Xenopus tropicalis: one gene and its partner. The protein of the gene in region 2 purifies or fractionates together with the protein of the main gene of each other region. This does not show direct contact. Links are inferred from orthologs where the notes say so. Each region holds a gene or a part of one and is shown on either strand. Other genes may lie near its edges.

Region 1 (8,083 bases), on a different chromosome or scaffold from region 2:
TTGTTTCCTACCAGTATCATAGAAGGGGCGCCGCTGGTAGGAGAGCCTCGTGGGTAGATAAATGGATACACTTGGCAATATGTGGCCCTGGCTGGCAGAGAGAGAGAGTTAAATAAGATGTTTATCTTACAGTTACCCAGTAGCCATTTGTACTTCTTTGTTGTATTTTACTTTTTGCTTTGCTGCTCTTCAGTTATCTGGTTGCTATGGTTCCACTGACCTTAGCAACCAGACAGTGGCTGAAATGGCAGCAGCCTTGATCCTGTTTTGGGAAAGGATAGCATTAGGGTGAGTTTGATAGGCACACATAAAAGCCAATCAGTGACAGCGAGCAACATGCAGTAACCAATCGGGCCCTTGCTTTCAGTACAAGCTACCCTCTCGTGCTTTGTTATCAGGGTTAAACCTGCCCTGTTACCGTGTAACTACCTACAGGCCTCATTGGCACAACCCAGTTCCCTAGGTAAGGGCTGGCACTGAGTCACTAAGGTGCGCTCGGCCTGTTAGCTGCACGGGGAGGGCACCATTAGTGCACGTTTAGTAGTGAGGGAGGTAAGTGGCCGGGGCCAGCAGCAGCTTCTTTATATGAGATACCCTCACTGATTCGCTTATACAAGATCTTCTTCCGCTGTGCCCACCTATGGGTTAATCCGATTGGTTCAGGGACTGCATCAACAAGTCCATGTGGCCCCTGTTCCGATGGAAATATCAAACCTGTCCGATGGAGATCTGCCCGATTTCAGGCCAGATGTGGGTCGGGGAGACCCATTAGTGGTGCCCCATACATGGGCAGATAAGCTGCGCAATCATCCTAAAGGGCCAATACTGGCAGCTTCGCCCCATGGATGGCCACCTTAACAGGCAGGACTCCCAATGAGAGAGGGGTAATTGGGCAGATAACAGGCAGGACTCCCAATGAGAGAGGGGTAATTGGGTAGACAACAGGCAGGACTCTCAGTGAGAGCAGGGTAATTGGGCAGATAGCAGACAGGACACCCAATGAGAAGGGGTAATTGGGCAGATAGCAGACAGGACACCCAATGAGAGGGGGGTAATTGGGTAGATAACAGGCAGGACTCCCAATGAGAGAGGGGTAATTGGGTAGACAACAGGCAGGACTCTCAGTGAGAGCAGGGTAATTGGGCAGATAGCAGACAGGACACCCAATGAGAAGGGGTAATTGGGCAGATAGCAGACAGGACACCCAATGAGAGAGGTGTAATTGGGTAGACAACAGGCAGGACTCTCAGTGAGAGCAGGGTAATTGGGAAGATAGCAGACAGGACACCCAATGAGAAGGGGTAATTGGGCAGATAGCAGACAGGACACCCAATGAGAAGGGGTAATTGGATAGATAACAGACAGGACTCCCAATGAGAGAGGGGTAATTGGATAGACAACAGGCAGAACTCTCAGTGAGAGCAGGGTAATTGGGCAGATAGCAGACAGGACACCCAATGAGAAGGGGTAATTGGGCAGATAGCAGACAGGACACCCAATGAGAAGGGGTAATTGGGTAGATAACAGGCAGGACACCCAATGAAAGAGGGGTAATTGGGCAGATAACAGGCAGGACACCCAATGAGAGAGGGGCAATTGGGTAGATAACAGGCAGGACTCCCAAAGAGAAGGGGTAATTGGGTAGATAACAGGCAGGACTCCCAATGAGAGAGGGGTAATTGGGCAGATAACAGGCAGGACTCCCAATGAGAGAGGGGTAATTGGGCAGATAACAGGCAGGACTCCCAATGAAAGGGGGGTAATTGGGCAGATAACAGACAGGACTCCCAATGAGAGAGGGGTAATTGGGCAGATAACAGACAGGACACCCAATGAGAGAGGGGTAATTGGGCAGATAACAGGCAGGACTCCCAATGAGAGAGGGGTAATTGGGCAGATAACAGGCAGGACACCCAATGAGAGAGGGGTAATTGGGCAGATAACAGGCAGGACTCCCAATGAGAGAGGGGTAATTGAGCAGATAACAGGCAGGACACCCAATGAGAGAGGGGTAATTGGGCAGATAACAGGCAGGACTCCCAATGAAAGGGGGGTAATTGGGCAGATAACAGGCAGGACTCCCAATGAGAGAGGGGTAATTGGGCAGATAACAGGCAGGACTCCCAATGAGAGGGGGGTAATTGGGCAGATAACAGACAGGACTCCCAATGAGAGAGGGGTAATTGGGCAGATAACAGACAGGACACCCAATGAGAGAGGGGTAATTGGGCAGATAACAGGCAGGACTCCCAATGAGAGAGGGGTAATTGGGCAGATAACAGGCAGGACACCCAATGAGAGAGGGGTAATTGGGCAGATAACAGGCAGGACACCCAATGAGAGAGGGGCTATTACACAGATAACAGCCAGTGCCCCACCCTCCCATCTTTAGCCCCCCCAGTATCCCTTGCTGGGAAGATGCAGACGCGGAAGGATCTATTTTCACAGCCGCATAACTAAGGTCACACGCCCTCTTCCTTATTGTCCCTCTGTGGTGTCTGTGGGCCCCGCATGGGGGGCTGTTAGGGACTAAGTGAGACGGTGCCCGGCAGTGCAGCTCGGTACTAGCGATACTGGCTGTTGGGGGCCGTAGGGTGGGGCAGGGGGTGGGGTTAGAGGAAGGAACTATTTGCTGGCGCGGAAGGAGACAGGGCGGTGAAGCTGTTCCTCCATCTTTGGTCCAGCTCAGCTTCCAGCTCCGCACTCTCCCCTCACGGCGCGATGGATGAGGAGTACGATGTGATCGTGTTGGGTACCGGCCTGACGGTGAGTGGCCATGGGGGCCTGGCTGGGTACTGGGGGGTCCTACTCGCTCTTTTATTCTGGGGCCCCAGGAAAGGCTTCAGGGGGCAGTTACACGGGCTGGAGTGGGTAGTGCCTGGGGCAATTACTGTTATAGGCCTAGTAATGCCCTATGGGTATGGGGGCAGGGCCCCTCACTGTCAGCTGGGGGCATTGATGGGATGTATGGGGGCACTGACATGTACTGGGGGGAAATAACATGAATACAGGGCCGTGCCACTCTCTGGTACAGGCTGGGGGCACTGACACGTACTGGGGGGAAATAACATGAATACAGGGCCGTGCCACTCTCTGGTACAGGCTGGGGGCACTGACATGTACTGGGGGGAAATAACATGAATACAGGGCCGTGCCACTCTCTGGTACAGGCTGGGGGCACTGACACGTACTGGGGGAAATAACAGGAATACAGGGCCGTGCCACTCTCTGGTACAGGCTGGGGGCACCGACATGTACTGGGGGGAAATAACAGGAATACAGGGCCGTGCCACTCTCTGGTACAGGCTGGGGGCACTGACATGTACTGGGGGGGAAATAACATGAATACAGGGCCGTGCCACTCTCTGGTACAGGCTGGGGGCACCGACATGTACTGGGGGGAAATAACAGGAATACAGGGCCGTGCCACTCGCTGGTACAGGCTGGGGGCACTGACATGTACTGGGGGAAATAACATGAATACAGGGCTGTGCCCACTCTCTGGTACAGGCTGGGGGCACTGACATGTACTGGGGGGAAATAACATGAATACAGGGCCGTGCCACTCTCTGGTACAGGCTGGGGGCACCGACATGTACTGGGGGGAAATAACATGAATACAGGGCCGTGCCACTCTCTGGTACAGGCTGGGGGCACCGACATGTACTGGGGGGAAATAACAGGAATACAGGGCCGTGCCACTCTCTGGTACAGGCTGGGGGCACCGACATGTACTGGGGGGAAATAACATGAATACAGGGCCGTGCCACTCGCTGGTACAGGCTGGGGGCACTGACATGTACTGGGGGGAAATAACATGAATACAGGGCCGTGCCACTCTCTGGTACAGGCTGGGGGCACCGACATGTACTGGGGGGAAATAACATGAATACAGGGCCGTGCCACTCGCTGGTACAGGCTGGGGGCACTGACATGTACTGGGGGGAAATAACAGGAATACAGGGCCGTGCCACTCTCTGGTACAGGCTGGGGGCACTGACATGTACTGGGGGAAATAACATGAATACAGGGCCGTGCCACTCTCTGGTACAGGCTGGGGGCACTGACATGTACTGGGGGGAAATAACATGAATACAGGGCCGTGCCACTCTCTGGTACAGGCTGGGGGCACTGACATGTACTGGGGGGAAATAACAGGAATACAGGGCCGTGCCACTCTCTGGTACAGGCTGGGGGCACTGACATGTACTGGGGGGAAATAACAGGAATACAGGGCCGTGCCACTCTCTGGTACAGGCTGGGGGCACTGACATGTACTGGGGAGAAATAACAGGAATACAGGGCCGTGCCACTCTCTGGTACAGGCTGGGGGAACTGACATGTACTGGGGGGAAATAACATGAATACAGGGCCGTGCCACTCGCTGGTACAGGCTGGGGGCACTGACATGTACTGGGGAGAAATAACAGGAATACAGGGCCGTGCCACTCTCTGGTACAGGCTGGGGGCACCGACATGTACTGGGGGGAAATAACATGAATACAGGGCCGTGCCACTCGCTGGTACAGGCTGGGGGCACTGACATGTACTGGGGGGAAATAACATGAATACAGGGCCGTGCCACTCGCTGGTACAGGCTGGGGGCACTGACATGTACTGGGGGAAATAACAGGAATACAGGGCCGTGCCACTCTCTGGTACAGGCTGGGGGCACTGACATGTACTGGGGGGAAATAACAGGAATACAGGGCCGTGCCACTCTCTGGTACAGGCTGGGGGCACTGACATGTACTGGGGAGAAATAACAGGAATACAGGGCCGTGCCACTCGCTGGTACAGGCTGGGGGCACTGACATGTACTGGGGGGAAATAACATGAATACAGGGCCGTGCCACTCGCTGGTACAGGCTGGGGGCACCGACATGTACTGGGGGAAATAACATGAATACAGGGCCGTGCCACTCTCTGGTACAGGCTGGGGGCACCGACATGTACTGGGGGGAAATAACATGAATACAGGGCCGTGCCACTCTCTGGTACAGGCTGGGGGCACTGACATGTACTGGGGGGAAATAACAGGAATACAGGGCCGTGCCACTCGCTGGTACAGGCTGGGGGCACTGACATGTACTGGGGGGAAATAACAGGAATACAGGGCCGTGCCACTCTCTGGTACAGGCTGGGGGCACTGACATGTACTGGGGGGAAATAACAGGAATACAGGGCCGTGCCACTCTCTGGTACAGGCTGGGGGCACTGACATGTACTGGGGGGAAATAACAGGAATACAGGGCCGTGCCACTCTCTGGTACAGGCTGGGGGCACTGACATGTACTGGGGGGAAATAACAGGAATACAGGGCCGTGCCACTCTCTGGTACAGGCTGGGGGCACTGACATGTACTGGGGGAAATAACAGGAATACAGGGCCGTGCCACACTCTGGTACAGGCTGGGGGCACTGACATGTACTGGGGGGAAATAACAGGAATACAGGGCCGTGCCACTCTCTGGTACAGGCTGGGGGCACTGACATGTACTGGGGGGAAAATAACAGGAATACAGGGCCGTGCCACTCGCTGGTACAGGCTGGGGGCACCGACATGTACTGGGGGGAAATAACATGAATACAGGGCCGTGCCACTCTCTGGTACAGGCTGGGGGCACCGACATGTACTGGGGGGAAATAACATGAATACAGGGCCGTGCCACTCTCTGGTACAGGCTGGGGGCACCGACATGTACTGGGGGGAAATAACAGGAATACAGGGCCGTGCCACTCGCTGGTACAGGCTGGGGGCACTGACATGTACTGGGGGGAAATAACAGGAATACAGGGCCGTGCCACTCTCTGGTACAGGCTGGGGGCACTGACATGTACTGGGGGGAAATAACAGGAATACAGGGCCGTGCCACTCTCTGGTACAGGCTGGGGGCACTGACATGTACTGGGGGGAAATAACAGGAATACAGGGCCGTGCCACTCTCTGGTACAGGCTGGGGGCACTGACATGTACTGGGGGGAAATAACAGGAATACAGGGCCGTGCCACTCTCTGGTACAGGCTGGGGGCACTGACATGTACTGGGGGGAAATAACAGGAATACAGGGCCGTGCCACTCTCTGGTACAGGCTGGGGGCACTGACATGTACTGGGGGGAAATAACAGGAATACAGGGCCGTGCCACTCTCTGGTACAGGCTGGGGGCACTGACATGTACTGGGGGGAAATTACATGAATACAGGGCCGTGCCACTCTCTGGTACAGGCTGGGGGCACTGACATGTACTGGGGGGAAATAACATGAATACAGGGCCGTGCCACTCTCTGGTACAGGCTGGGGGCACTGACATGTACTGGGGGGAAATAACATGAATACAGGGCCGTGCCACTCTCTGGTACAGGCTGGGGGCACTGACATGTACTGGGGGAAATAACAGGAATACAGGGCCGTGCCACTCTCTGGTACAGGCTGGGGGCACTGACATGTACTGGGGGAAATAACAGGAATACAGGGCCGTGCCACTCGCTGGTACAGGCTGGGGGCACTGACATGTACTGGGGGAAATAACATGAATACAGGGCCGTGCCACTCTCTGGTACAGGCTGGGGGCACTGACATGTACTGGGGGGAAATAACATGAATACAGGGCCGTGCCACTCTCTGGTACAGGCTGGGGGCACTGACATGTACTGGGGGGAAATAACAGGAATACAGGGCCGTGCCACTCTCTGGTACAGGCTGGGGGCACTGACATGTACTGGGGGGAAATAACAGGAATACAGGGCCGTGCCAACTCTCTGGTACAGGCTGGGGGCACTGACATGTACTGGGGGGAAATAACAGGAATACAGGGCCGTGCCACTCTCTGGTACAGGCTGGGGGCACTGACATGTACTGGGGGAAATAACATGAATACAGGGCCGTGCCACTCTCTGGTACAGGCTGGGGGCACTGACATGTACTGGGGGGAAATTACATGAATACAGGGCCGTGCCACTCTCTGGTACAGGCTGGGGGCACTGACATGTACTGGGGGGAAATAACAGGAATACAGGGCCGTGCCACTCTCTGGTACAGGCTGGGGGCACCGACATGTACTGGGGAGAAATAACAGGAATACAGGGCCGTGCCACTCTCTGGTACAGGCTGGGGGCACCGACATGTACTGGGGGGAAATAACAGGAATACAGGGCCGTGCCACTCTCTGGTACAGGCTGGGGGCACCGACATGTACTGGGGGGAAATAACAGGAATACAGGGCCGTGCCACTCTCTGGTACAGGCTGGGGGCACTGACATGTACTGGGGGGAAATAACAGGAATACAGGGCCGTGCCACTCTCTGGTACAGGCTGGGGGCACTGACATGTACTGGGGGGAAATAACAGGAATACAGGGCCGTGCCACTCTCTGGTACAGGCTGGGGGCACTGACATGTACTGGGGGGAAATAACATGAATACAGGGCCGTGCCACTCTCTGGTACAGGCTGGGGGCACCGACATGTACTGGGGGGAAATAACAGGAATACAGGGCCGTGCCACTCTCTGGTACAGGCTGGGGGCACCGACATGTACTGGGGTGAAATAACATGAATACAGGGCCGTGCCACTCGCTGGTACAGGCTGGGGGCACTGACATGTACTGGGGGGAAATTACATGAATACAGGGCCGTGCCACTCTCTGGTGCCAGCTTAGCTATGGATTTATATGGACCACCCAAGGTGGGTGATGGTACCTGGGTCTATATGGACAGGTTTCACGGTGTTCTTATGAGAGTGCCAGCTTAGCTATGGAGTTATATGGACCACCCAAGGTGGGTGATGGTACCTGGGTCTATATGGACAGGTTACACTGTGTTCTTATGAGAGTGCCGGCTTAGCTATGGATTTATATGGACCACCCAAGGTGGGTGATGGTACCTGGGTCTATATGGACAGGTTACACGGTGTTCTTATGAGAGTGCCAGCTTAGCTATGGATTTATATGGACCACCCAAGGTGGGTGATGGTACCTGGGTCTATATGGACAGGTTACAGGGTGTTCTTATGAGAGTGCCAGCTTAGCTATGGATTTATATGGACCACCCAAGGTGGGTGATGGTACCTGGGTCTATATGGACA
Region 2 (7,898 bases):
AAGCCATTATATTAACAATTCTGCAACCTGCAAGATAGCAACAGTAAATTACACCATTCGTAACACTTTATGCTGAAGTTCTACTTACAGGACCCACAAATAGCTGAAGGCACAGGGACACTATGGGGCTCATTCAAATTGCCCCATGCAGTATGCAAAGTGCTAAAAAGGCTGCAATTAGCCATTTTTTTACATTTTTCCCACTGCATGGGGCACTGGTCTGTGCTAAGAATGAAGTGCAGTCTTCTTTAGGATGTGCTCAATTCAAAAGGGACAGGTGGGGGGAGGCACGTACGTGTTTCGTGCATCATTTTTAAAGGCACATGGAAGGAATGGCAGGATGTGCAGTGTACAGGGGGTACAAGTGCTTTGTAGATCAACATTAAGGGACGCGTTCTTGCACTCCCTGGTGTCATAATGACCCATAATGTAAGTAGCTGCAGACTGGGGTTACCAGATCATCTAAAAAAATTCAGGGACACACTCATCTAGAAAATCCAATTAGAATTGCTGTGTTGATTGCAATATAATTTACATTCAACCAGTGCATTGCAACATGCATTTACTAGATGCATCTCTAAGGGGCAGATTCATCAAAGTACGAATTCGAATCCCAAAATCGGTAAAATTCGGATTAGATACGATAATTTCTGATTATTGGAAATGTCATGAAAGTGCTTACAAAAAAATCGTAATAGCCACAATAATATCGTATTGGCGATCTGAAAGTCACTAAATTTTCGTATCTGAATGATCGTAAACAGCGGGAAAACTTTCTGACTTTGATCCTTCTGTGCATCTTTTTGGGAGCCTCCCATAGGACTCAATGGCACTCTGCAGCTCCAACCTGGCCAATAGAAAGTCACGTCAACGAAGCTTTAATGATTCTGAAACTTTCGTACTTGTTGCACCAATACAATTTTGTTGCATAAAATTTGTTGCAAAGTACAAAATAGTTGCTCAAATTAACGAAAAGATTGCAGAAAATACGCACAGTTCTATAAATTAGAAAAAATACACATTTTTTGTATTCGGAATCAATCGTACTTTAATAAATGTGCCCCTAAATGTTGGTAACCCTACTGCAGGCACCTGAACAGCTTTGGATATATTGTACCCTCATCGTACTAGAAAAAATATGTAAATGCCAGTGAGCAGTAATATAAAAAGACTCAGCAGCTTTGACCATACCGCTGCTTTAAATAAGATTTACCCAGAATTTTACTTGTATGAGCCAGCTGTTCAACATCTGTAGGCAGTTTTCCTAGGCTGTTCAGTTGTGGCACTCAGCATTACACTATATGTATATATATATATATGGATATTATGGTGATTATGGGTATTTCATGTGATGTTTTAATGTGGCCATTTGTATCTTGAGAAAGGTTCTAGGCCAGAGCCGAAACGTTGATCGAATGGCAATGTTATAATAAAGACTGAATTTTTAATCAAAAGCCCTTGGAGTGTGCTTATGACAGTTGTTGGAAGTTGTACATATTCCCTTAGCTGCACCCAGGCAATAATAAACAGTGGCTAAAGAGGAGTTCGGATCGTGATGCAGTTGTATATATACAGGGCTGCTGGCCAAATGGGTGCCCTAAGCAGAAATTTACTTTTGTGCCCCTCCCCCAAATTTTACGGAAGTAAAAATAAAATAATAAAAAAACACCTACTATAGGGGCCCCACACACAGAGCCCCCAATATCCCCCATAGACAATGCCCCCATAGTAAGTGCCCCCAATTGCCCCCATAGATTGATTGAACTATCTGGGACAGTGGGATGCGGTATAAAAACCGGCGGGACAGTGTTGGGGGGTATGTTATAATATCTAAAAATGATTTTTTGGAGCAGCTGGGATGGTACCCCCCTGGGAGTTGGTGCCCTATGCAGACTGAATACTCTGCTTATAGGGAGCAGCGGCCCTGTATATATATCCCTGAGGAAGAGCACAGTTGGTGCTCGAAATGTTGGATCTTTTTCATTAAATATTTTTTTGTTTTCTAACAAAGTCCCTGTGTGTGCGGCTCATTGTCTTGCTATACACATGGTTCTTGCAAGCACCCGGGGCATTTGATTATTATCAGGGTGTGCTCTGTTCTTTTCTGTATATATATATATATATATATATAGGTCTAACATGATTAAAATTCAGGTAGTCTGGCAGAGCTTAGTTATGATGTGGTATGTAATAATGTAAGCATATGTGGGAAATAATTTTTCTGTGGACTCATCATTTCCTGTTTTGGAGAAGCCCCAGGCTATGTTTATGTATGGGAATGCCAATGATGTTTGAGGCTGGGATGCATGTTAGGGAAGTAGGCTAGTTCTCCTAGAACATGGGGCGCATATAAACACTGCACAACCCATAGCACTGAAGGAAGGATATGAATGTGGCGCTGCCTGTGGCTGAAACATCCTAAGCAGCCGTAAATCCTGGGTCCCCCTGCAGATTTTCCTACAGGAGATGCTGCATTTCTGAGGGATTACGAAAGCACGGACTGAGTGCTTGTCTGCACGCCATGTGACAAGCTGCCCATAAATAGCCCAGACTGGTTTCCGTTTGTTTTGGAGGAATTAAATCCTCCTCTTCCCCCCCCCCCAACTTTTGGTCAGGAAATGATTGCATGCGATCCGCGGCAGAGGAGCGGAGCCTGAGCTGTGTTTTGTGGAATCCTATTGTGCTGCTGAGGATGGAATGCTAAAGACAGAAACAGTAAAGAATGGCTATCCGAGAACTGAAAGTTTGCCTTCTGGGGGTGAGTGCGCTTTGCTTTCTTTATGAGGGAGGGAGCGAATACAATAGGACAATAAAAGGATTCGGATAGAGAACTGTTGCCCTATTGCCCTATAGAAGTGTATGCTGCAGCTGAGTAATTAGCTTCTAACACCTTCTCCTGCTGTGTGTGACAGACAAAGAAGCGTTACAATACCCAGAGTTCTAATGGGCTTGGTAGTACCGAGGAGCCAACTGGAACTGACCACAACAAATACTTTCCAACTTAGCTATTTTGTTAATTGTTTACAATAGTTGTACTGAACAAACAAAAAATACCTTTTCATGTATCCATAGCTCAATAATTAAATTGAGCTCTAAAAGAGTTTCCTCCCTCACACTCAAAAAGCTCACTTTGCATTTTTTTTTATTGTGACAGAGTTGCAAGAACGTATTCCTTTGTCAGAGAGTAAAGGGGAACTCCACCCAAAACAGTTTTATGTACAGAAAACAAAATGTAATTACAAGCAACTTATTGATATACAGTAAAGAAATATTTTTTAAAAAGTTATTTGCAAATGTCATTGCCATGGATATCAGTTTTCATCTGGCTGTTTATCTCTTTATCTTATCTGCACTTATGGAGTTAACTTGAAATAATGTAGCAGAAGCCATGTAATGGAGAACAGAATATGACAAAAAAAACTGCTGTCAACTGCAATTACGCTTACAAACTTTATAAAACAAATTTGATAAAACCATTGAAAATATTTTATAAATGTGCATTGGGAAATTGCTTAGAATGATATTTTCTTTCATTTTGGGAGGACCACTTTAACACTAGTGAAGTTGTTTATATTTTGTTTGGCCTTCCTTGTTTAGCTTTTATGAGGGTGAATGCCCCCTCCATGACCCAGTGCACCTAAAAGAGAACCTTGTCCTAGACAGATTTGTGCAGAACTTTACTAGCTGTAGCATAAAGTTGACCCCAGAAACCTTAATAGGCATTTTTTTAAATTAACAATTAAATAGCTCTCTTAGCACAAGCTATGTGGGTCCCCTCACCCCAGTCTGAGCTCAGAGGAGGTAGACAGGGAGGGGAAAGGGGGCAGAAATGGGTTGGCTGCCCCATGTGTTAAGGGGCAGAAACTCCTCTCTTCTCCTGGGAAAATTTAACATAGTAAGTTTTGTGAATGCATACTTATGAAATGAGGGGCAAATTATACTATGCCCTGTTCCTACCCTGCCTTGCCCAGGGCACATCCTCATCTGCCAAAATTCCACCTACTTTTCCCATCCTTCTTCATGTCTTTGATGTGGGACTGTTCCTAAAAAAATGGACCATTGGGAAGTATGTGAATGTGATAGGGACCTTAGATTGTAAACCACCATGACCCTTTGTCTGTAGTCTACTAGGTCTCAAGGAGGTTTGGAAAAGAGATCTTGAAATTTCTGTTCCATCCGCTCTCTCTGCTTTTCAACCTTTGTCCTCAGCTTCCTTGTTTCAGTTAGAGAGTGGCGTGCCAAATGCCTGATAATGTTTCCAGCTGTATCATTTCTCTTTTCTTTCCACATAATTGTGTGTATATTTATACAAAAAAAAATATATATATAAATATATATTTTTTTTAATCACACAATATACCCCAGCCACAAGTAAAGGAGCAATAAGGGAAACAAAATCTCACTCCTTGGTGCTGGGTTCTACACCTTGTGACAGGGGTGTGTGAGGCCCAACATGGCTGCCCCCCTGGCGACCAACTGCCTCACCCCCCCCCCCCCCGAATGCGTGTACCTTATGTTTAAGTTTGAAGTGATCAGGGAGGGAGGTCAGCTGGGAAGCACCAATGTTCCGGATAGGGTCTGGGTCAGTGGGGCCCAGCGGGTTTTTTCCCACTGTCTAGCTGGCCCAGTCAGACCTTGTTCGTGACAGATTTGTAAGGTGTATAGTATATTACTTTTGGGCAAAAAGCAGGTTTAAAGTACAGTGTTTTGCTGAAGGATATATGTTTATATTCCAGATTTGCTGCTTTTTTCATTTTTTTAATGACTGAAATTACACTCACATTGTAGTGAATGTATGAGAATCTGTCTTCCAGATTACAGGTGGTTCTTATCATTGTTCAGCTATAAAAGGGGCAGTATAAGCTAAAACATGTCTTGGCTAAAAATTGGTGCAGTAAATAATAATAAAGAATCTGCCTATTCTTTTTCTTAAATCCATATTTATATTTTTTGCCATTATAAATCATGAATTAAAAATTGGATTGGTTTTGACTAAACTCACTCCAGCACTTCCAACAGGATAATTTATTGTAAACTAGATAAGTAACTCTGAATAAACAAACCCTAAACTAAAGTCTTGGTTAGCCTTTGCCTTGTGGAACATCTCATTATACAAATGCCTATGGACTGGTAAATAAGGTTTGTGTCAGACTGGGCACTTGTCGCTCCCCAAAATACCCTTTCCTCTGGATGAATGAAATTTACCACAAGTAAAACATACCATTATGCCTGTGCTTTGCATGTGAATTCTGTGCTGCTGTTCATATAATTTGTTCTGGCGTCTTACCAACAGTTTCAACATAAGTCCTGAAAAATTAAGGCCTCTACTCAGGACATGTTTTATCCATACAATGTTTTCCTATGGTCTGTGGTTTTGTTTAAGCTGTAAACAGAGCCAGAGAAGGTTCCTGTTGCCTTGTAAAATATGCTCATGCATGTATGGACAACCTAACAGACTGGCACTATTTTTTATATTCAGTCAAAGTAATGGAGGTTCCCACTATGTAAATGCTTTGATTCATTATTTCAGGGAAAACTAGGGTAAAAACACTTAAAGGGTTACTGTACCCTTTAACAGTTATTTCTTTTCTGCTTTCCCCTAATAAAATGAGTAGCTTGCAAAGGCCTGAATTGTGAAGCCACATAACTTTTGCTGTTATGTTTTTTCTCTGCACTGTTTTAGTCCAAGTATTATATTTGACTGCATGTGAACCAGGACACTAAGGGATGTATTCATTATGCTGTGTAAAAAGCATAAAGCAAAAAAAGTGAAGTATTACCAGTGATGTTGCCCTGGGCAACCAATCAGCAACTAGATTTCAAAAGTTAGAAAACCAAAACAAAAACAAAGCTTCTCATTGGCTGCTTATGAGCAACATCACCAGTAATGTTTCACTCCACTTTTTACACAGCATGATAAATATACCCGTAATTCTACTTACTGCAGAAATTAGGCATGAAACAGGATTGGCATAAATGCAAAAATGTATTTTCTTGTCAGTGTTTCTTCAGCAAAACATTCTAGTTCCTATGTCTTAGCAGTGATACTCCTTCATGGATACAGCAAGGATTTGAATTACTGTTAGCATTTATTTAAAGGAAATATATAGGATAAACAAAACAACCTCTAATCTTGTAGGCAATAGTGAATAATATATGGCCCCTTTATTGGAGCTCCTTATAGAACCCCTTAGGTCCCTGTCCGTGTTTTAAATGATGGGTGGGTGTGTCCTAACGGTTCCTGCCAAAAGCACGATAGAAGGGGGATAGCCAATCACAGCCCTGCAGTCACACAAGCAAAGACAGGCTTCTGTTTCCTTTTTAAATTTTGACTTGCATCCTTCTTTAAATAAAGAGAACTTATGTTTAGTACAGGGCAATACATATACTGTTACAGACTTGCTATCCCCCTATATAAAGGGTACTTCAAAACCCATTAAGTAGTAATGTATGTCCTTAAAGGAAAACTATACCCCCAGAATACAGTAAATACTTAACCAACAGATATCATATATTATATTAAGAGTCTTGCCAAACTGAAATACATATATCAGTAAATATTTCCCTTTACATCTTTTACCTTAAGCTGTCATTTTGTGATGGTCTGTGTGCTCCCTCAGAGATCACCTGCCAGGAAATACTGCAGCTAACTGTAAGGCTGATGGCCCATGGAGAGAGTTAGTTGCCCGCAATAGATCTCTGCTACCGCGGGCGACTAACAAATTTGAACTGCCAATCTTTGCGCCACTTTGGAAAGCCAAAGTGATGCATAGGCCTTTCTACTGGCAACTCCTATTGTTGCTGGTGGAAAGGCATTTCTGAGCGGTTAGTTGCTCACGGTAGCAGAGATCTATTGACTCGCTCTGTGGGCCATCAGCTTGACAAGAAGGGTTGGAGTAAAAGACAGAACTCTGTCCATTAATTGGTTTGTTTGTGTGCACTGTGAATCCTATGATCCCAGGGGCAGCCATTAGTACTTAAAACTGCCATTTTTCAGTTTAAGATTATCCATTGGCACTTTTAAGCAGTATATTTTTATAGAGACCTACATTGTTCAGGAGTATAGTTTTCCTTTAATGAGGTGGGCAGTGCAACAGAAATGGAGGGATCTTGCACTCATGCAATTATAAGCAACACTAAAAAACTGCTTATAAAATTTCTTTGTGTCATTGCAATGTACAGAGATCGGTTTGGATAAGGTTTAGAAGCAGTTCTTACCGTTACATTACACTGGCTGCCTTCTCAATTGCAAATTTGCACACATCTGCAAGTCTTTTTTCACAGAAGGAAACTGGAAAATTTGCTGTAACTTTATCCTTACGGTCAAAGTTGGATCACCTGCTACAAATTCAAAACCAACTTCAAAAGAACTTCATTTGAAGCGAGTGTTACTGTACTGAGCCAAGCAAATAGATCTGACTGAGTGCTCAAAGCCATTCTGGCAGCACCTTAAGGGATTACTTAGCAAGACCCAGGGCAGAAGTTAAAGAGCCTTGCACTGTAGCAGAGAGACCTGCTGCAAGTATGCTGTGCCTATTGACACTGGGAGTCTGGGAACCTTGGAGATACCTCCTGGTCAGAAATTGCTGGTAATTCCAGGGTTCCTCTGTGTCAATAGGTGTAGCAGTGCTTGATGGAAGGCAGGAAGGTCTGAGCAACGCCAAATCCAACCATACAGATGTGCAAAGAGAACATATAGATGCAGTACCTTTAATGAATGGGGTTTAACACTCAACTTACTGTGGGGAAGAGTGTGGGAGCACAACTGTGCCTGTGGCTGTAAATGACCCCTATTAATACTACCAGGTGAACCACCCCTTGGAAACTTTGTACTGAAACTTACCTTACTTTAAACTACGTTAAGTTGGCAGGAAATGTATTAAATGTCGCACAGCACT

The links. Proteins that work in one complex are often made in the same cells at the same time.
Region 1: the proteins of rab31 (region 2) and gdi1 purify together in Homo sapiens (co-immunoprecipitation; 3 studies listed by BioGRID and IntAct, counting the BioPlex papers as one, with this or other methods). This does not show direct contact. The link is inferred for Xenopus tropicalis from reciprocal best matches to the Homo sapiens genes RAB31 and GDI1.

The regions. Positions count from the first base shown.
Region 1 is NC_030684.2:140,970-149,052, forward strand, and holds the start of gdi1 (rab GDP dissociation inhibitor alpha), read left to right. Parts: upstream 1-2,627; 5' UTR 2,628-2,721; coding exon 2,722-2,766; intron 2,767-8,083. UniProt on the Homo sapiens protein: Regulates the GDP/GTP exchange reaction of most Rab proteins by inhibiting the dissociation of GDP from them, and the subsequent binding of GTP to them. Promotes the dissociation of GDP-bound Rab proteins from the membrane and inhibits their activation.
Region 2 is NC_030682.2:104,640,987-104,648,884, forward strand, and holds the start of rab31 (ras-related protein Rab-31), read left to right. Parts: upstream 1-2,651; 5' UTR 2,652-2,722; coding exon 2,723-2,758; intron 2,759-7,898. UniProt on the Homo sapiens protein: The small GTPases Rab are key regulators of intracellular membrane trafficking, from the formation of transport vesicles to their fusion with membranes.